Callithrix jacchus: one gene and its partners. The protein of the gene in region 1 purifies or fractionates together with the protein of each later gene. This does not show direct contact. Links are inferred from orthologs where the notes say so. Each region holds a gene or a part of one and is shown on either strand. Other genes may lie near its edges.

The links.
Region 2: the proteins of SRF (region 1) and MYOCD purify together in Homo sapiens (affinity purification with western blotting; 3 studies listed by BioGRID and IntAct, with this or other methods). This does not show direct contact. The link is inferred for Callithrix jacchus from reciprocal best matches to the Homo sapiens genes SRF and MYOCD.
Region 3: the proteins of SRF (region 1) and MRTFA purify together in Homo sapiens (affinity purification with western blotting; 4 studies listed by BioGRID and IntAct, with this or other methods). This does not show direct contact. The link is inferred for Callithrix jacchus from reciprocal best matches to the Homo sapiens genes SRF and MRTFA.

The regions. Positions count from the first base shown.
Region 1 is NC_133505.1:51,642,744-51,649,685, forward strand, and holds the start of SRF (serum response factor), read left to right. Parts: upstream 1-2,283; 5' UTR 2,284-2,672; coding exon 2,673-3,188; intron 3,189-3,392; exon of another isoform or gene 3,393-3,604; intron 3,605-4,879; coding exon 4,880-5,146; intron 5,147-6,708; coding exon 6,709-6,942. UniProt on the Homo sapiens protein: SRF is a transcription factor that binds to the serum response element (SRE), a short sequence of dyad symmetry located 300 bp to the 5' of the site of transcription initiation of some genes (such as FOS).
Region 2 is NC_133506.1:79,200,758-79,207,734, reverse strand, and holds the start of MYOCD (myocardin), read right to left. Parts: upstream 4,183-6,977; 5' UTR 3,889-4,182; coding exon 3,834-3,888; intron 3,240-3,833; exon of another isoform or gene 3,194-3,239; intron 1-3,193. UniProt on the Homo sapiens protein: Smooth muscle cells (SM) and cardiac muscle cells-specific transcriptional factor which uses the canonical single or multiple CArG boxes DNA sequence. Acts as a cofactor of serum response factor (SRF) with the potential to modulate SRF-target genes.
Region 3 is NC_133502.1:191,340,175-191,347,110, reverse strand, and holds the start of MRTFA (myocardin-related transcription factor A), read left to right. Parts: upstream 1-2,754; 5' UTR 2,755-2,909; coding exon 2,910-2,996; intron 2,997-6,936. UniProt on the Homo sapiens protein: Transcription coactivator that associates with the serum response factor (SRF) transcription factor to control expression of genes regulating the cytoskeleton during development, morphogenesis and cell migration.

The sequences.
Region 1 (6,942 bases):
CTTACAAAAAATACATGCTATGTTTTATTCATTATATACACTATATTTTACTGATCACTTGCACATATTTAATTTCAGTATTTCTCAAAGCTTTTGGATCGTGACTTATAGTAAGAAATGCAGTTGATATTGTCACATACACTGAATGATAAGAAACTGACAATATCCCACCTTCTTGACCTATAAAATGGTAATTTTATAGGGTTCAACTTATATATAATGCAAACAAATGTTTTATGCAGCAATATTTGACTTTGCTTTTTGTGATACCCACTAATTATTTTAAATGTCAATTGTAGTATACTGAATTGATGTTACTACCACTACTAGTAATGAATAGGTTACAATCAACTGCTTTATTAAATCCTCCCAATTTTTCCGGCAGGAATAATCAGTCTCCTATCCCCTTAAACATTCGAAGATGCTAGGATGAGATGACTTACTCCAGGTAATTCCTATTGCCTAAGCACTGACCAATTACTTTGCCCTTTAGCCTTTATCTCATTAAATCTGCATTAAGAATTTCATGGAGTAGGCTAGACATGGTGGTTCACACCTGTAATTCCAGCCCTTTGGGAGGCTGAGGCGGGCAGATTACTTGAGGTGACCAGGAGGTCAGTGGTTTGAGACCAGCCTGGACAACATCGCCCCATCTCTACTAAAAATACAAAATAATTAGCTGGGTGTGATGGCGGGCACCTGTAATCCCAGTTATTTGGGAGGCTGAGGCAGCAGGAGAATCGATTGAACCTGGGAGGCGGAGGTTGCAGTGAGCCGAGATTGTGCCAGCACTCCAGCCTAGGCGACAGAGCAAGACTCTGTCTCAACAACAACAACAACAAAAATCTCATGGAATGGATAGCAACATTGATGAATATGGAGTTTGGAAATATCAGATCACTTGTTTCCAGGCACAGGGCTACCAAGAGGCAGATTCCAGATTTAAATAATTCTCTAACAGCAAAGTCCAAGCTATTTTCACTGCTTTGGCAAAAACATCCAGACCCAGACTTTGAACCTGGCTTTGCAGCACCCCAGTTCTAATCTTTAAATTTTTTTTCTGCGGGGCACGGTGGTTCAAGCCTATAATCCTAAGAGTTTGGGAAGCGGAGGGGGAAGGATCGCTTGAGGCCAGGGGTTCGAGATCAGTCTGGGCAACAAGGCAAAAACCCATCTCTACAAAAAAATACAAAAATTAGGCCACTGTGGTGGCATGCGCCTGTAGTCCCAGCTACGTGAGAGTCGCTTGAACCCAGGAGGCGGAGGTTGTCATGAGCCAAGATCGCGCCACTGCACTCCAGGTTGGGCGACAGAGCGATACCATGTCTGAAGAAGAAAATTTATTTTTCCTCCAACGGGCTTTCCAGAGAAGGGTGTGCATGTGCGTGTGTGTGCGCGAGCGTGCTTTCTTGCTTAAACTTTCTGTCAGGCTACACTTTCCCCGGTCTTTGCACTGGCGGTAGGGTGGGCTTTATCCTCGGGACGCCCCCCTCCCCCCAGCCCAGCCTGCAGCTGGAAGTCTTCACTGATCTCCGTCTCTTCTCCCTGCCCGCCTCGGGGAGTGGGAGGCCGATCTGTCTCTCGCCCTCCCCTCCACCCGCCTTTTCCAGATGTATGTCTGCCAAAGACCCCACCGTGCAGAGGATGATGAATGAGGATTCGCGAGCCAGCTTGGTGGGAAAGTGTCGTCGCCTACAAAAGCGAGGGAAAAGGAAGGGAAGTCGGGGGGGAGGGGAAAAGTTAGAGCGGAGGGGCCGGGGCGCGACAAGTCTGGACACCGGGGACCCAAGCCCCCTCCGCTCCGCCAATAACTGTGCCTTCCTCAGGAGGGTGTGAGGAAGTGCTCCAATCGATCCCTACACTCCTCCCTTGGAATCTGAGCTGCATTTTAAATTTTACTGCAAACCCCACAATCCACCCAGGGGTTTCCCCAGTGTTTGCCTCCAGCGTCCCGATGCCCATTTCCTAGTGCTGCTCCCTCTCCTCCGCAAGACTGCGCTCCAGTCCTCTCCCAGGCTGCTTCTCCGCCGGTGCCTCCCAAACCATGCTACCATTCTCGGGTTCAGGGAGGCGGAGTCGTGCCTGCTCTCCGGTTCCTTTAAGAGGCGTCGGCTCCTCCCTTCTTGGAGTCGCGGTCTGACGCGGGATGACAGCAACGAGTTCGGTATGTCTATGCAAATAAGCGAACCCGTGGGCCAATGGGGAGCGGAGGTGCCGGAACCGCGGACCAATGGGGCGGGGGCGCTGGGGCTCACCATATAAGGAGCGGCCTCGCCATAAAAGGAAACATTGTATCTCTTTATATGGGGGGAAGGGTCGGGGGATCCCTCCGCCGCCAGCGCGTGGTCCCGGCCCCCTCCACCCGCTGTCTCGGCCGCGGCCAGCAGCCCCTGCCCCCCGGGGGACGCTGACGGCCGCCGGGCGCGCCGCCCTAGCAGACGGACAGGGGGCGCTGCGCGCGGCCTGGGGCAGCCCGGGCCACAGGGGCAGGAAAGTGAGGGCCCAGGTCGGCCCGGGCGTGCAGGGGCCCCGGGTTCGCAGCAGCTGCCGCGGCAGCGATAGCGGCACCAGCAGCAGCGGGAGTGCCGGGTTGAGCCGGGAAGCCGATGGCGGCGGCGGCGGCGTCTCCGATTCCTCGCTGACTGCCCGTCCGCCCTCCTGCATCGAGCGCCATGTTACCGAGCCAAGCTGGGGCCGCGGCGACTCTGGGCCGGGGCTCGGCCCTGGGGGGCAGCCTGAATCGGACCCCGACGGGGCGGCCGGGCGGCGGCGGCGGCGGGACTCGCGGTGCTAACGGGGGCCGAGTCCCCGGGAACGGCGCGGGGCTCGGGCCCGGCCGCCTGGAGCGGGAGGCTGCGGCAGCGGCGGCAACCACCCCGGCGCCCACCGCGGGGGCCCTCTACAGCGGCAGCGAGGGCGATTCGGAGTCGGGCGAGGAGGAGGAGCTGGGCGCTGAGCGGCGCGGCCTGAAGCGGAGCCTGAGCGAGATGGAGATCGGCATGGTGGTCGGTGGGCCCGAGGCGTCGGCGGCGGCCACCGGAGGCTACGGGCCGGTGAGCGGCGCGGTGAGCGGGGCCAAGCCGGGTAAGAAGACCCGGGGCCGCGTGAAGATCAAGATGGAGTTCATCGACAACAAGCTGCGGCGCTACACGACCTTCAGCAAGAGGAAGACGGGCATCATGAAGAAGGTACCAAGCCGGCGGGCTGGCGGGCCCGGGAGGCCGGGAGGGGTGGGGATGCACAGGGGGAGCCCGGGAGGAAGGCTGAGCCGAGGCGGAGGTGAGAGGCGGCGAGTCCTCTGGAGGTATGTGGGAGGGGATGGCTCCTGCCCGGGGAGGGCCGAAGGGGAGGGGCCGCCTGGGAAATGTGGGGAGAGGGGAGATCCCGCGAACACCCGGAACCGTGGGGAAAGGCGCCGAGGTGGGAGTGACCGGCGCGCGAGGGGAAGAGGGCTCTTGCTGAGTGAAGGGGTGAGGAGTGGTCATGAGAGGCTTCGAGGCTGCCAGGCTGCCAAGGAGGTGGATAAAGAGAAGCGGGATCAGTAGGTCCTGTGCACTCTGGTGTTCGGAGGAGGGCGCCGGAAAAGCAGGGAGCGGACGAGAAGGTATGGAGGTGAGGAGGCTGGAGCTGCATGACAACAATGAGCGAGCATGTGTGGGAGGAAGCGGGCACCACAAGAGTAGTGCTTGTTCGAAGGACAGGCAGGGTTAGGAACCAGGTAAGGGAGCCGGGCAGGAGAACTGGTGCTGCCCTGAGCAGCAGGGACCTAGTCCCGCGCCGGTCGTGAGTCTTTCATGGCATCCACTGGGAACCGCATGCTCCTGGCAGGACCAGCTGCAGAATTTCCTGCAGTTAGGACAAGTGGGGTTTCCAGCCCTATGGAGAATCTATGCATGGATGGGGTTTGGGGGAAGTCAGGGAGGCTTGCAGAGGTACCTAGGAATTTCTCATCTGCCAGCCAGTGAAAGTGGTGAGGAAAGGAGTAATTTTGGGGTGTAGAAGGTAAGGGAAGGGATGAAAGCAGAGGAATTGGGAAACAAGGAGCTGGATCCTTGGGAACACTGGCTGGTGTTTATTTCTGTCCCATGTAGAAACCAGAGCTGCTTCCAAGGTGGTTCGTAGAACTTCGTTGGGAGGGTATGGCATCCATGGGGCCATCCTTTAAGGTCCTCTTCCTGGGCTCATGGCAGGATGTTCAGTACTAATCTAGGTCTCATCTCCCATCACTCAGGACACTGTTGTATCAGTGTCCCTTATCACTTGATCATCAGTGGAGAGGGTTGTGGGGGGAGGTAATTAATGAAGGAAAACTCTCTTCTCTCCTTTCATAACCTTCTTCCCAAGACAAAGAAAAAAGGGCAGTAAAGTATTACAGGACAAAAGGAGAAATTAGGCTGTCAACAAGTTGGAGCCTGTACAGTTTCTGGAAAGAAACATGGAACAGTTGGAGCTTGAGTGGTCCCTTATCACTGTCTTGTGCAAATTCCACTGTGGTAGGTAGGGATCCATCCTGGTCCCTGTGACAGTGAGGAGGGGTGAGGCTCTGGGACATTCCAGACTCTAAGCTGTGTTGGAGAGCAGCTAGCTGGGTCCTTCGTTCGTATCCCCTGAGGTTGTATGTTCCACCACCGGCCAGCTATTACTGTTTGCTTGGGGTATCTACGGGTCAGTGGGGCTACTCCTCAAAGGAGGAGCATGGGTAGTTTTGCTGCTTCCAGAGATCCTGATAGGACACTCTGCCCCCAGAGTCACTAGAGATGAAGGTCATTATGGGAATGGGGGAACGGGGATCACTGTATAATTCTTCTTTTTCCAACTTCCCAAGGAAGGTAGAGATTAAAAATTTGCTGACCTGCCTGTCTCCCTCCTCACCCCTCAGGCCTATGAGCTGTCCACGCTGACAGGGACACAGGTGCTGTTGCTGGTGGCCAGTGAGACAGGCCATGTGTATACCTTTGCCACCCGCAAACTGCAACCCATGATCACCAGTGAAACCGGCAAGGCACTGATTCAGACCTGCCTCAACTCGCCAGACTCTCCACCCCGCTCAGACCCCACAACAGACCAGAGAATGAGTGCCACTGGCTTTGAAGAGACAGATCTCACCTACCAGGTGTCGGAATCTGACAGCAGTGGGGAGACCAAGGTGTGTTTGGGTTGCCTGTGTGAGAGGAGGGAAGGGAAGAGGGTTCCTCTCCCTCTCTGGCCCAGGACAGGTGGATAGGTGCCTACGGATGTAGAGTGGAGCCGGATTAGCGACCCTCGTCCTAAGGGACAGGTGTCCATCCTCGCTTTCCTGACAGAGCCCGGCCCCCTAGATAAGCGGGCGGCCTCCGTGCCCATATAAGGCCCGCTCGGGCTCCACGCCGGCCTCCCGCCCGCAGCCCGCCTGCCTGGCAGGGCCATTGCATTCCTCCCGCCAGCTGTCTCCCCACTAGGGGCGGGGGTGTAGTTTAGCCCAGCCCTCCAGGCTGGGTCGCCTGGGAGTAGAAAGCGAGCACTCTGCTCCCGGGGTCCTGGGAACTCAGCACTCTCGGCAGGCAGGCTGATTGACTAGGTCGGAGACTACCTTACAAGCCTGCCGCCTGCCTCTTTAGGATGTTGGGGGCCTGGGCAGTTAGGGAGCGCTTTCGCCTGCTGCTAGGGATGCCGGGGCTGTTACGCCTCCCCCTTCCTTTTCCCGGTAAGGAGAGGGGGTGGGGCTTCCTCCCTTGCTGTCTGGGGAGCTCCACCTTCCGGGTAGCGCTTAACTAACTGGCCAATGGTAGGAAGCGGCACTGTTTGCCTTAGCAACGCCTCTGCCAATCAAGAGTCCTGGGCCCAGCTGCTTAGCAAAGGACTCGTGCCGAACCACCCCCAGCCTTTGAGCCTCTGGTTGACTCAGTTCGGGTCTGGGCTTGGTGGTTTGGTTCTCAGTTTCCTCCTTCCCCTTCTAAGAACGAAGGCCCCCTGAGGGGAGAGTCAGTGCTGTAGGCTTCTCCCTCTCTTAGTAGCATATCATCTGTAATAATTTTTAAACTTTTGTAACAGTAGGTCTCATTCCCAGGAAATTTGTTAGATGCGTACATTCTTTTGGTAGTTTACATCTTGGATGTGCATCATTGCCAGACCCTCAAGATCGCTCTCAAACTCTAAGTTCCCTGAGAAACTTAGAGTTCCTATCGGAAGCCTGACAAATCAGAGCTGTAAAAACTCTTAAAGAAAACATAGCAGCCCAGCCCCCTCATGCTTATAGAGGAAAACCAAGGTTCAGAAAAGGGGAGTGGTTATTTCAGGGTCACATAAATGGTCATTGCCAGAGCTAGGAACAGGCCTTGATGTCCTGACTCCCCAGCCAGTGAGATTACCACAGTCCATTGGAGCAGAGAACTCGGGATTATAATGATGGCAATAATCATCATCATTATCATAAGAACAGCAAATGTTTATTTTGGGCTTTTTATGTGCCAGGTACTGTTTTCCAAGTGATTTACGTATGCTAACCTATTTAATCCTTACAGCAACCTAGGTATTATTCTCCCTTTATGGATAGGAAACTGTAACTCGGTAGATCAATAGCTTACCCAAGAGTCAGGCAGCAAGTAAATGGTGGTGTGGGGATTTGAACCCAAGCTCACTGGTTTCAGTCTGGGTTCTCAGTCCACACAAAGCTTCTGCAAAGGCAGGATCTGGTAGAGGCTCATTGCTTCATCTTTATTCTTGGTGTAGGACACACTGAAGCCGGCGTTCACGGTCACCAACCTGCCGGGTACCACCTCTACCATCCAAACAGCACCTAGCACCTCTACCACCATGCAAGTCAGCAGTGGCCCCTCCTTTCCCATCACCAACTACCTGGCACCAGTGTCTGCTAGTGTCAGCCCCAGTGCTGTCGGCAGTGCCAACGGGACTGTGCTGAAGAGTACAGGCAGCGGCCCTGTCTCCTCTGGGGGCCTTATGCAG
Region 2 (6,977 bases), on another chromosome or scaffold:
AAAATTCAGTGCCAGAGATGTTAAGGATATTCCTTAAAGTAGGAACCAGCAGTCCTTTTAGGTTGTCTGAAGGATGGAGGATGGATAGAGATGTCTGCAGGGTCCTGCTGAAATGTCCCTTGCCCTCTCTGAAAGGACGAGCAACCAATTACAGACACCAGAGGCTTGCTCCTGGGTGCTCTTGGAGTAGAAGAACAGTGTGGGGGGTCCTGCTACCTGAGTTCAGCCACAGCCTCATGAGCACCTGCGTTGCCTGTTCCCTGCCTTCTTTTAACCATAGCTCCAACTTCTGGAGCCACCGGCCTGCCCGTTGAGCTTATTTTCCTCCTTGCCAGATGACCAGAGAGCAGAGGTGAAGCTCCCACGTTCTTCCTCACTCATAAGCTGGGGTTCACTCTCATGGTATCCCCTTCCCATTTGGAGTCTTCTGCTTTCATGCCTAAATACAAGTTTTGCATTTTGGGGAGTGCTTGGGGACCTGGAGAATCTCAAGAGCTTGATAGGATATTGGATGGGGCCACAGGGAGTGTTGATCAAAAACCACTCAGATTGTAGGTGGTGTTGCCAAAAGAATACAGAGGGCCCAGTGAAATTTGGATTTCAGAGAAAAGTATGTCCCGAGTGCCGCTATATAGTCAAAAGGGAGTAATAATTATTGCTTGGAAATTCACATTGGACTGGGCATTTTGTATTTTTATTTGCTAAGCCAGACAAGGTTATATTTGTGGGAGTGGGGTTAAGGTCATGGCAGTTGCCAGACTTTCCCTCTGTTTAAGATGGGGAAGTGGGAAAAAGAGAGAGAGGAGCCAAAGAAACGCAATGGTTCTTTAGAAGCAACATCCCTTCATGGACCTCTCTTTCCACTTGTTCTTTCATGTCTGAGGGCTGTGTGTGTCTGTGGGTGGCACACATACGTATGTCCCCCGGTGTTTTGTAGAACACGAGGAGTGATACTGGGGAGAACTGTTGATAGTGACACTGATTAGATATTGAATAAACAACATGAGAAGACTAAAAACTGTACAAATGCGGTTAGTTTAAAATCAACACAAATCACTGCATGTAAACTGCCTCTCCTTCACGTGCAATTGCCACAAGGCGCAATCACAGTTATGTTTGTTCCAGCCAATCTCTACATGTTTCCAGAGAACCATAGAATGTTACCAAAGAGGTCTAAGAAATTGCCTAATACAACCCCGACGTTTACTGATGAAATAACTGAGAATGAGAACGAGCAAGTTACCAACTGCGGGTCCCACTGTACATCAGTATTAATAATAGAAAAATGTTTTGTAAGAGCTTTCTAAGGGCTGGGCATTTTAGAAGTTCTCTACTTCACATTTTATTCACACAATGACCCTATAATCATCCTGATTTTCAGGGGAAGCAAGTTGAGGCACGGAGAATTATGTAATTTACCTAACGTTTAAGGTCATGCAGCTAATGAGTAGAGATTACTATTAAAAACCCAGCGAGTCTGGCCCTGAGACCCATGCTTTTCAAATGAGTTTGTATCACCAAACATGTTCATACAGGTAAACTTTCAGAGTTTACTGCTGCTGTAGCATGATTTTGTCCTTAATCAAGAGGTCACTCAACTACAGCTTATAGAAAGTTGATCGGACATGGCTGACATCAATGATTTCAGAGTAAAAGCAGTTATCTGCTCACTTATAAACAACCCTGTCACAGTGAGTCTGTTGCTGTAATCAGAGAACAATTTCATTGCATTTATTTAATGGAATACATAATACCATGATCTACTATCAAAGCAAATATTCGCAGTGAGATCGAATCAGTTTTATGAGTTTACATTTGAATTGCTTATGAAAGATGAGGAGGAGAAGATGATGAAGGAGAAGGGAAAATAGTGAAAGAGAGCGAGAAATCAAAATAAAGTCGAGGCACTTATTCATTGTTAGCCACAAAATAAACGGCGTTCTCTTAAAGAGAGACCCTACTGTCAGCACGCTGTCACCTCAATGCTGGCCCAGCCAGAGTAGTAATTACATCCGGAAAGAATAACTACCATTGAAACATTACGTTTCTAAGTCTTACATTCCACTTGTTTTTTCTCCTGTCTGTCAAGAGACGATCAACGCTTGCATCTCAGACTCCAGATTCCCTGTTTATCAGTGATGGGAGGATAAAAGACGCCTGCTTCTGCTTTGATATCATGTTTTCCCAAATCCACCCTTCCTTTTGACACAAAAGCCTGCATAACTTTCTTAAAAAGTGAGGCTGGAATTCTCTGAAGCTCCAGGATCAGGGTTTTCAGGGTCTATTTAGGAGACACCAGGACTCCCCAAATCCACTGAAATGGAAGTTGGGAGTGGTGCAAACGTTGCCTTTCCTCTCCACTGCACTTCAGCTGAAGGAGGGATCGATAGGTGTTTTGCAAGTCTACTATCAAGTACATCACCAAATCCTTTTAGAGACAAACCAGCACGCCCAGACCCTCTACATTTCAACTGGCAAGGAAGCATTTGAAGTGAATGCAGCTTCATACAAAACGAATCTACATCCTCTCTTCTTCAGAAAGGTGGCAGTGTTGCCTTGCAGTTTCGACCAAATACAAAGCAGCGGCGCGGTCCCTAGCTAATTAACAGATCAACCGCCTCACCTCACCACGGAAAGGCAGGACGTAATCCACTACCGACCCCGGTGGCTGGTAGACTCATCCCAGAGCGTCAGGGGCAGCGAGGCTTGTGACCGCCTAAGCTCCTGAGTTTTCAACTTGCGTCAACGGTGAAGATCCTAAGAAAATCTCCAGTTGACCCCACAGGCATCTACAAACCAAGGGCATCTAAGAAAGTCACAGATGAACCTTACCTCCTAGCAGCTACATTTTTCCTTTTTGAAACATCCATCCCACGTGAAACAATTGCGTTGGCCCCATGTAAAGGGCTACGAAAGCTTAGCAAACCATGCCTGTATCTTTCTGACACCTGTTATGTCAATATTCGCATCAGAGTTCTCCTAAAAGTAACCAATCTAAGTAGACGTTCTACATTATTGTGTTGTTAACCAGTTTTCTAAAACCAACATTATACACAGAGTTACCGAAAAATAACTTCAGAAGTCAAGTGTTGATTTGTCTAAACGTGGAGACCCACACGGACACCTTCCATGGGCACGTGCACAAACCCTTCTTGAGAAGCAGCTAGAGCTCCCGTCTCTCCCTTCCACTCACCTCCACTCAGCGTCCTTTGAGAAGTTTCTCCATGTGCCACTAACACAGAAATTTCGGGGAAATTCTCCATTTATAAATATCAGATGGTTTGGGAAAAAATATTTGTGGCACTGGGCTTTCTTTTTTTTTTTCTACAGTGATGTCATTTTAAATACTTGGTGTGCTCCAAATTTGCTATTTTTACTTCCTCCAAGTGACTTTTTTTGGGAAATACTTTGTTTGGATTAGCTACATTTTAAATGACCCTGTACCTAACACACAAACATCAGGTTCATCTTCTCAGCGATCATAACTGATACTACGCAGCGTCCAAGCTTGAAATCCCTTATTCGTTCGTCTCCAAAGTTGCCCCTTCTCAATGTACCCCTCCAAGATTTCTATTCACAGATACAGAGAAAATAAAATAGAAGGATTGACCTTTTCACAGAAGAACAACCACACTCTACTACCCAAAAGCACTTACAACGGAAGACACAAAAGGCCCCCAAAAAGTCAAATAAAATTCTTTGCTTCCACAATGTGCTTTTGGGGAACAGAGTTGAGGTAGACCTGGCAGGCTTGGAAACATTTATTGGAAAGCAGTTCTAGAGTTGAGAATGGCAGAAAAGGAAAGTTCAAGAAGGAATGCTAAATGCCCTACCTGATCTGAACTTGCTCCTAATCAGCAAGGAATGCTCAGACCCCAGAAGTGTCATGTTGAGGCTCAGCAAGCCGCGGGTCCCTTTGCCAGGCGCCCCCTGTTCTCCACCAGCAACAGGCTCCCGGGAGCCCAGCTGACCGCAGCTAACAACCCAGAATTCATCCAACTCGCCGTGAGCTCCCCTGGGTAGGAGTACAGTGGCAGCCAGTGTCCCCAGAAAACTGGCGCCTCCCCCCCTCGCCGTGCGGGGCTAATTAACTCTTAGCCGGCGGGACCCTCCTCCTCCTCGGAGGTTGGCTGGGGGCAGCGGCATCCCAGGCGATCCTGGCTGATGTCATAGGCTGCCGGCGATTGCGGAGAATCGCCACCACGCCTTTATGAAGGTCCCAACTTTGCCACCCGATACTCTTTACTACTGACAGGCGCTCAGCCAATCAGCAGCGGCGAGCGGGGCCCGGGGGACCCGGAGCCGCCGGAGCAGTCTCGGGAGCCGGCTCTTAACTCTTTGCAGCGGGCCCCGCGGCCTCCGGGGCGCAGAGGGCGGGAGCAGGGCCGGGGGTCGGGAATCCGCGAGAGGGGCCAGAGCTAAGGAACCGAGGCCCGGAGGAAAGTCAGAGGGGCTGCCACGCCGCGGGGCCTGCAGGTGGTGCGCGGGGCTGCGGCGGCGCGGGGAGCTCTGCGGGCCTGGGCATGGGCGTGCGCAGCCGGGGCTTCCCCGCCAGGGCTTCTGCCTGCCGGAGGGACGCGGTCGGGATCTCCCTCCAGCCGGCGGCAAAGGGCGTGAGCGCCCGCGGGACGGTTTGGAAATCAGCTGGACCCCTGAGAAGAAACGCCTCCGAAGGACCGAAGCCCACACCTTCCCCTCGGTTTGAGGGGCTCAGTGCACAGGCAGGGACGATTCTGTGTCTCGCAGCTCCAATACCGGACTTGGATGCATTTCCACGGGGAAAATGGAAAAGCTTGCATTTTTCTAGGATATGCTTTTTTGGGGGTAGGCTGGGGGATGTGACTCGGTGCATCTGGAGATCCAGCGGCGACTCAATGCTCCCACCTCCAAACCCGAGGGAATGGGGAAAGATACCTGAGTCTGAGTCAAAACCCTACTGGACTGTGAATAGGGAGGGGCTCTGGAGCAGAGGGCAAGCCAGAGCTCTGGTTGGGGTTAGCCTGGAAAGGCGCAAAAACTGCCTGCAAATGAGTCTTTCCATAGGCGAAAGTTAATTCCGTAACCGATCCAGAGTTATTGGAGCATCTTGCCGAGGTGTTCTAGGCACATGGATCAATGAAATAATACAAAGACCCAGCTCTCGAGAAGCTGGTTTAATAGTTGGTGGCTCAGAACATTAAAAAAAAACACACTCTATATACGTATATAATTAGGGTTGATTTGCAACCTCATGTGCACGTGGGTTCCCGGGTGTCGACTGTTACACACAAGCCTGCCTATGTCTTTACTACCAGTCCTTAAAAGATCACTCGGTTACCGATGGAGACCCGAGGTGACAATATAGCTCATGGGACAACCTCTAATGCCCTGAGTCCCGGCCTCTGCCCCATCCGTTGTTGCTGGAAACATATTACGGGGTTAGCCCTTGAGCTCAATCTCTGGATCTGAGCTGGTCTTTTTTGTAAATAAGGTCTTCAGGAATAGACACCTTCTTCCTGATGGGTCAGAGAAGAGGAAGAACAATCCGTCCATGTTGCCTTTGGGAATCTAGTTCTGGCCTGAACGCCAGTCTACAGGCTGATTTGGTGTGCGGGAGCATCTCAGCAGTTATGTAACATCATTTTCCCATTCCTGCTATAACCAATTACTGTGGATTGAGTGGCTTAAAACAGCACAGATTTATTATCTTGCTGTTCTGGAGGTCAGAAGTGCGTCTCAGTGGGTCAAAATCAAGATGTCAGCAGGGCTGCTTTTATTTCTGGAGGCTCTAGGGGGAAATCTACTTCCTTGCCTTTTCTAGCTTCTAGAGGCTGCCTGAGTTCTTGGCTCATGGCCCCTTCCTCCATTTTCAAAGCAAGCAATCCTGGGTCAGGTTCTTATTGCATCTTATCGCTTTAATGCTCCCTTCCCCACCTCCTGCTTCCCTCTTCTAAGGTAACCTTACTGCAAAAATAAACTCTAGGCCGGGCATGGTGGCTCACACTTGTAATCCCAGCACTTAGGGAGGCTGAAGGGGGTGGATCACCCGAGGTAGGGAGTTAGAGACCAGCCTGACCAACATGAAGAAACCCCATCTCCACTAAAAATACAAAATTAGCCAGGCATGGTGGCACATGCCTGTAGTTCCAACTACTCCGGAGGCTGAGGCAGGAAAATTGCTTGAACTGGGGAGGTTGTGGTGAGCCGAGATTGTGCCATTGCACTCCAACCTGGGCAACAAGAGCAAAACTCTCTCTCAATAAATAAATAAATGAATAAATAAGCTCTGTCATAAAGTCAGTTTATCATCCTTCCTACTGCGTGGATTCCCTTTGCTATGTAATGTAACCTAGTCACAGATTCCTGGGATTAGAACATGAACTTGCGAAGAGAGGGCATGATTCCTCCTGTCCCACAGAGACCTTTCTTTCTCTTCTGTCTCTCCTAATCTTCAGTCAAGCCCCAGCCCCCTGGTCTTCAAGGAAAATAAGGAAAGTGGAGGGAGGTTTGGGAATGTGTGCACACAGGAGTCTGGAAGGGCTCCAACTGGCTTTGAGATGTGTGTGGCAGGGAGGGACTCTGCAGGGAAGAGATTGGTGGGATAAAGAATATTGCAAAATTATCTGAGTAAACTATTTTGAGCAACATTAAAAAAAGAAAAAAGAAAAAGCCAAACAGATTTTTATCCCGAAGTTTGGGGCTGAGAAGAGATACATGGCAACTTGGCGGAGAATTATTTTTTCAGTGAAAGTTGGGATGAAATTAGCTGAAGCCAGCACCGAATGTAGGGTCTGCATGACCTAGATGAGTTGGCCAGGAATAAGTTGTTTTCTCTCTGCAGGCCTGGGAGTGTGTGTGTGTGTGGGGAGGAGGGTGGGGGCGGGGAAGCATAGTTTCTTTTTCTCAGTGAGTTTGGGAAATGCCGATAACCACGGTCCTCCTCAATTTTCCCATCACACTGTGGAACTACTGACATGTCCTGAGATTTATACCCCCAT
Region 3 (6,936 bases), on another chromosome or scaffold:
GAGTGTTTGCTGGGAATGACACAAATAACACATGTCCCCAATAGATCCTGAAGGATAGCCACTTGAAGTCATTAGGATAATAAGGCATATGAAAACCATCATTGAGGACTGATGGCAAGAAAAAGGGTCTTCATCCCTATTGCTTTGTGGAGATGGGTAGCGGGTGTGGGAAAGGAAGTGAAGTGGGATTAGACATGTTCTGTGAAGCATTAGAGGATACCATTAGGATCTAGGGGCAATGATGATTTTATTACTTTTTCTTTTAGAGTCCGAGTCTTACTCTGTTACCTAGGCTGGAGCGGAGTCAGAGATTAGAGGGAGGCAGACAGCCCATAAGAAATATATATAAACAGAAATATATATAACCCCCCCGCCTTTTTTTTTTAAATGGAGTCTCACCCTCTCTGCTGCCCTGGCTGGCGTGCAGTGGTGGGATCTTGGCTCACTGCAACCTCCATCTCCCAAGTGCAAGCGATTCTCATGCCTCGGCTTCTTGACTAGCTGGAATTACAGGCATGCGCCACCACACCCGGCTAATTTTTGTACTTTTAGTAGCCACGGGGTTTTACCATGTTGGCCAGGCTGGTCTCAAACTCCTGACCTCAAGTAATCCTCTGGACTTAGCCTCCCAAAGTGCTGGGATTACAGGTGTGAGCCACCACACCCAGCCTAACCCTTTATATGTACACAAAGTATATGTGTGTCTATATAGAGTATATAAAACATGTACAACTTAAGTTGTCCAGAAAAACAGCAGAGGTATTTGTGAGAGGGTGAGCTTGTCTATAGTCTCTGCCATGAATGGGCAGAACTCACTTCCTGTCACTAATAAAATACACTTGTGCCTCCTCACCTGGACTTTTTCAGGAGGGCTGTGTCTGGGTGGGTACTATCTGGAATGCCCCAGCCCCACCCTGGTCATGTTTTGGGGAAATGTGCCCCACCCCAATAATTCCAACGGGGGTAATTTCTCCTCCGAGGCACACTTCTGCACCATTAGTCACCTGCGATATCCGCCTGGCACTGCAGTCACCGAAGTACATGCCTTAGCATCCCCCAGTTTGGTGTGAGCACCCCCAGGGTAGTGACTGTATCTTATACGCCCTCAGTGTTCTTACTCAAAAAATATTTGTCGAATAAATAATTTTATCAGGTATTTTGTGCAAGAATTTCTGCCTTGGGGGAAGGTGTGTGTGACTAAGGACCCACGAGGATCCGTCTAGCTCCAAGATTCTGCCACCGGGGCTTTGGTACTGAACCGGAAACTGACTTATAGTGAGTAATTGGGAATATTCCAAGGCCACTTTGACTTCCGCAGCTGTTGGAGAGAGCGGCACCCTCTCCCGCCCTCCCTCTGAGAGTTCACCAATGGGCAGTCCCAGAAGCCTTTGAGGGGGAAAAGAGGGTCATAGTGAGGATATACCCTGGAATGTAAAGTGAGCGGCTCCTTTTCAGTCTTTGTGTCTATTCACGGGTCCGCCCCAAACCTAGAAGAATGCTCCTGACCCCTTCTTCCTCTACCTACTGTTATTCCTTCCTCTGACTCTGTCTGGTGACCCTATCCCCGGACGCCTTCCGGAAAGCGCTTCCCCCCTCTTTTCCACCCCACCGAGTTGGAGTTATTTCTCCTTTTCTGGGCTCTCTCCCATTGCTGGGGAGGAAGAGGGACATGAACGGCCTGCCTGACCGCGGCTTTCGTCGCAATGGGCCTGGATTACTTTGTTTCTCTCTCCCCTTTTGCCTCTATCCTTTCTCCCTGTTGCAGTCATGGACTTCACACATTTAAAAAAATAGATATATATTCACAAATACAGTTTTTAAATCGGGCAGCCACCCTGCTCCCCGCCCCCCGCCCCCAGCCCAGAATAGGTTTAGAGAGGTGTCCGGGTTCACTTGCTGAGTGTGTGGCCTCTGCGCCTAAGGCGCGCCCCTTCACTACACGAATGGGTGCGGCAAGGGTATAGGATTTTAGAATTCCAAGAGTCGTCGGGGTTCATCCCGTGGAATCCTCCTTTTGCAAATGCTCTCTTGGAGTCTTCCGATGCAAGCTCTTGGGCTCACGCAGCCCTTTTCCTCTTCCAAGCCCAGAGCACTTTCGCTGCTGCTGATCACCACGGTCTTGGCAGGTAGGGAGGGGCAGGCAGGTGTCAGCGTCTTCCCTTTCACCGTTGGGGAAATTGACTCAGAGAAACAAGGTGACGGACCTCGGCGGGGCGGGACTGTAACAGGAATTCAGGGCTCCAGGCCAGAGAGGAATTTATTGTGTCTCGTTTTGGAAGCGTGAATGTGAAATGATCGACTTCGGAGTCCCAAGCGGAGACCCTTCAGCCCCGGAGAAGAATCAGGATGGGGTCTGGGATTAATGGAGTAATTACTCGCGGCTGAGCATTGATCCCTTGGCAACTTGGCAAGGTCCGGCAGGGTCCACCGCCCTTTCCTTCACAGGGTGACCAGTGGGCTGCGGCCTCTTTAAGGCCCAGCGCTCCGCCCCCGGCTCGTCGCCGACCTCTTCTTCGCAGCTCAGCCAGTTCCAGACTTTCCTCAGCGATGAGGTCATCTTCCCGCTGCCCATTGGCTGCGACGTGCAGTCAGTCACAGGAAGTCACGCCGCCGTCCTCGCCTTCTTCGTGCCGCTTCCTTCTCTGCCCGCCCCATAGTCCGCCGATCACGACCCCGATCAGGCCTATGATTGGCTAGCACCGCCGTCACTTCTCTAGTGGGCGGTCTTCAGGGCGGGAGGCGGGCGTGGTGGGCGGGCCCGCAGCTTCCGCGGCTGCGAGGAGCCGGCGGTAGCAGCGTCTGTGGTGGCCGCGGCAGCTAGAGCGACGGTCCCATCCTCACCACCTTCTCGGTTGCTGCTGGCCACTCGCCTTCCGCTGTCGGCGACTTCTTAGCTCCGTGCGCCCTGGATGGACGTTGAGCCTCTGGAGGAGACGCGGACGGCTAGAGCCGGAGTGGGGCGAGCCGCGGAGCCCGGCCAGGAACAGCGAGAGGCGGTGAGTGAGAGTCCAGGCTGGGGACCCCTCCCCCACCGCGGCCCCGCCCCGCCCGGAGCATCCTTTCTCCCCGCGACCCCTCTGCGAGCGCCCCCCGGGGGTCGGGCGGGGCGGCCCTCGCGCCCCCGGCCCTCTTCCCGCCGGCCTTCTGCCCCTGCTCTCGGGACGCGAGTCGCTGAACCGCGGTCACTGTGTCGGGGCCGGGGCCGGGGCAGGGGCCGGGACCGGGACCGGGACCTAGGCGGGCGGGCGGGGCAGTGCACCTGTGCACCGCCTGGCGGGGCCGCGGTGCTCTGGGCGGGAAGCACGAAAGTCCTGGCCCTCGCAGCTCCCCGGGTGTGTTTTGATTGCAGCGATGAGGTGTCGGCCTTTTCTCTGGGATCTCGTACAAACCTTCAGGATCCAAGTGCATTCTTGGGGATTCCCAGGCAGGGAGGCTCAGCTGTAGCAACCTAATCGCAGCCAGGTGTACAGGGCTCTGCAGATCTGAAACTTGATGGTCAAGAACTTTACCCTCTAAGAAAGCGTCTGTCTGCCAGGACGCTGGTTGCAGCCCACCCTCCCCGCCTCGGGTACCTTTGATACTCCATAGTGCCCAGGGCTGGACCTTTTAAGTCGACTCCCAAACCTGCCACTTACTTGCTAGCTGTGTAATCTTGTGCCTTGGTGTCCTCGTCTGAAAAATGAGAACGTTAATACCACCAATCGCATATGGCTGTTTGTTGTAAGTGTGAAATGAAATAATTCACGTGAAACGTTGGACACAGTGCTTGGCGCTAGTAAGGGTACAAGAAATGTTTGCTTTTGGGATGTTGAGAATGACTGGTTTGCCCCAGTGTACATTAAGCACTAGCCCAGCTTGGCTTTGTCAAGATTTCTCTCTCGTCTCCGTTATGCAGCATAACGAAAGGGCAGTTGAACGGTTAACTGCTTGCCAGCCTCTATTTGGCATGAAGTGTGTGTATATACAGGAATGTGGAATACATCACTTAAATGTAATAATGGAATTACCCCCTGCATATATTTTTGTATGGTTTTAAACTCATAAGACGTCTGGAATGTCCCCGAGTTCCAAGTTTTTGAGATCTTTACAGGGTCTTTTCTACATGAAGCCAAAGCTTGTAACATAAGACTTATTGTTAATAAGAAGTTAAACTTACAGGTTTTACTTCAGAAGACCCCTCCCAAAACTCCAAATGTCACTTACGCAGTTTTACTGTTGAAAAGCAGTCATCTCCCGGGGGTGAGGTGGTACAGCCAGCTGGCCCACAGCCCCATGACTGCAGGGTGGGGAACCTTTGGCTGGAAGTTATTAAACTAAGTTTTGCCTGATGTCGTTTGCATATTTCATAGCGAATGTTACTGTTTCTTTATGTTACTGTTTCTTACTGAATGGTTTAGAAAGAAGCAATCCATTACTGCATTATTTAAAAACACCTGCAAAGAAAAAAATATCTGTAGTTTAGCTCTGGTGTTTCAGTTTTTGGCCAATAACTGTTAAGAAGGGCCCCTTTTTGGGCTGGGCGCGGTGGCTCACGCCTGTAATCCCAGCACTTTGGGAGGCTGAGGAGGGTGGATCACGAGGTCAAGAGATCGAGACCATCCTGGTCAACATGGTGAAACCCCCGTCTCTCCTAAAAATACAAAAAATTAGCTGGGCATGGTGGTGCGTGCCTGTAATCCCAGCTACATGGGAGGCTGAGGCAGGAGAATTGCCTGAACCCAGGAGGTGGAGGTTGCAGTGAGCCGAGATTGCGCCATTGCACTCCAGCCTGGGTAACAAGAGTGAAACTGTGTCTCAAAAAAAAAAAAAGAAGGGCCCCTTTTTAAGAAGGCTTTCAAAAGTCACATCCACTAGAATAAGTAATTTAGAGTCAAATCAAGAGAAGTGGAAGAGTAATATATATCCCATCACCCAAAAGTATTTACTGGGGACTTTTCCTGTCCTTAGTACTCTGCCAGATGCTATCAGGGAGTGATCTGAAAAAGTATGAAATAGGATCTCAGCCTGTAAAGGGCAAAACCATAAAGTTTGGGTCCACCTGGTAGTAATTACAAGTACTACTTAAGGGATGACTTCATTTATTCATTCAGCAGACTTTTTGTTCCACGTTTGTATTGTGCCAGGTGTTTTTCCAAGGGCTGGGGCTATCAAGGTAAGTGAGATATGAGATATGGTCTCTGTGCATGAGGCGCTCACAGTCTACTGGGAGAGGCAAAAAAAAAATGAGATTGTAACGTACGGAAATAAACTCTTAAGCACATATCCAGACTTTAATGGGAGATTCAAGGGAGCTTTTTCCTGCAGATGTATGGGAAGGCTTCAAAGAAGATGGCATTTGGGCTGAATGTTAACTCAGATGAAGGAGAGGAAAACCATTCCAAAGACAAATCACAGCTTAGAAAGGTTTCCTGATAGGCTTGGCACAGTGGCTCACACCTGTAATCAATCTGAGCACTTTGAGAGGCCAAGGCAGGAGGATCACTTGAGGCCAGGAGTTGGAATTGAGACCAGTTGGGCAACATAGTGATAGCTTGTCTCCACCAAAAAATTAAAGAATTAGCACGCATGGTGGTGTGCACCTGTAGTCCCAGCTACTCAGGAGACTGAGGTGGGAGGATCTCTTGAGCCCAGGAGTTTGAGGTAGCAGTAAGTTATGTTCGCACTGCACTCCAACCTGGACTTGCAGTGAGACCCTGTCTCAAAGAAAAAAAAAATCCTGATAAACCTTCTAATACACCAGTTATAGGCCCCAAGGAGGGAGAAGGGAACTAACATTCCTGATGCCCACTACACAAAAGCTAGGCTTTTATTCTGTTGCATAAGGATAGGGAAACAGGCTGCAACTAGTTAAATAACTCATTTAGGGATACAGAGTTAACAGAACCAGGACTCGAATCTCTGACTTAAAAATACGGTATGTTCTTTTCCTTTCAACCTGCTTTTGTAGGGGTAAATATAAGAGAGGTTAAAAAGTTCTATGCATCGGCCAGGCGCAGTGGCCCATGTCTGTAATCTCAGTCCTTTGGGAGGCCGAGATGGGCAGATCACCAGAGGTTGGAAGTTTGAGACCACCCTGACCAACATGGACATACCTCATCTCTACTAAAAAACATGCACAAAATTAGCCAGGTGTGGTGGCACATGTGCGTAATTCCAGCTACTCAGGAAGCTGAGGCAGGAGAATCGCTTGAACCCGGGAGGCAGAGGTTGCAGCGAGCTGAGATTGTGCCATTGCACTCCAGCCTGGGCAACAAGAGCAAAATTCCGTCTCAAAAATAAAAAGAAAGTTCTACCTATATTATTATCATTTTACTATTACAGATTACTTTCTGTGAAATAAATGTTTCATATTTGATTTAGAATCACTAAGGTGATATAATAAATAAAACTTACCTTTATTAAATGGTATATATTTTATACCTATAAATTAGGTGGCATTTCCTAAAAAGTATGGCCTGTGGAAACATTCAGTAAAAATGGAGTACCTTGATATATACAGATTGTATATGAAGCACTTTACTAACTCTGTTAAAGAGGTATAAACTTTCTTCGAGAGTGCAGCTTACTTAAGTATATTTAAAAAGAATTTGTAGATGTATGGCCATTTAATTTCCAAAGGGGAAATTAGAATTTTTAAGTCATATTAACAAAGATGGTTGTATTACATTTAGGGAAAACACTATAGCAAGCCCATATACTAGCAGGCTCCCCAAGGGTGAAGATATCTGTTTTTCTTCCCAGCTTCTAGAGCAGTTCTTGGCACATAACAGGTACTCAGTAAATATTTCTTGAATATAAGATGAACATGAACAAATATATGTTTACTCCATGTTCTTGTGTCTGTATATATATTTATATAAATGCTGGGGTTGGTAGTTGGAATTAATAAACATAAGGAACATTTTCATCTACTGAGAAAAAACCTTGGTCAGGAGG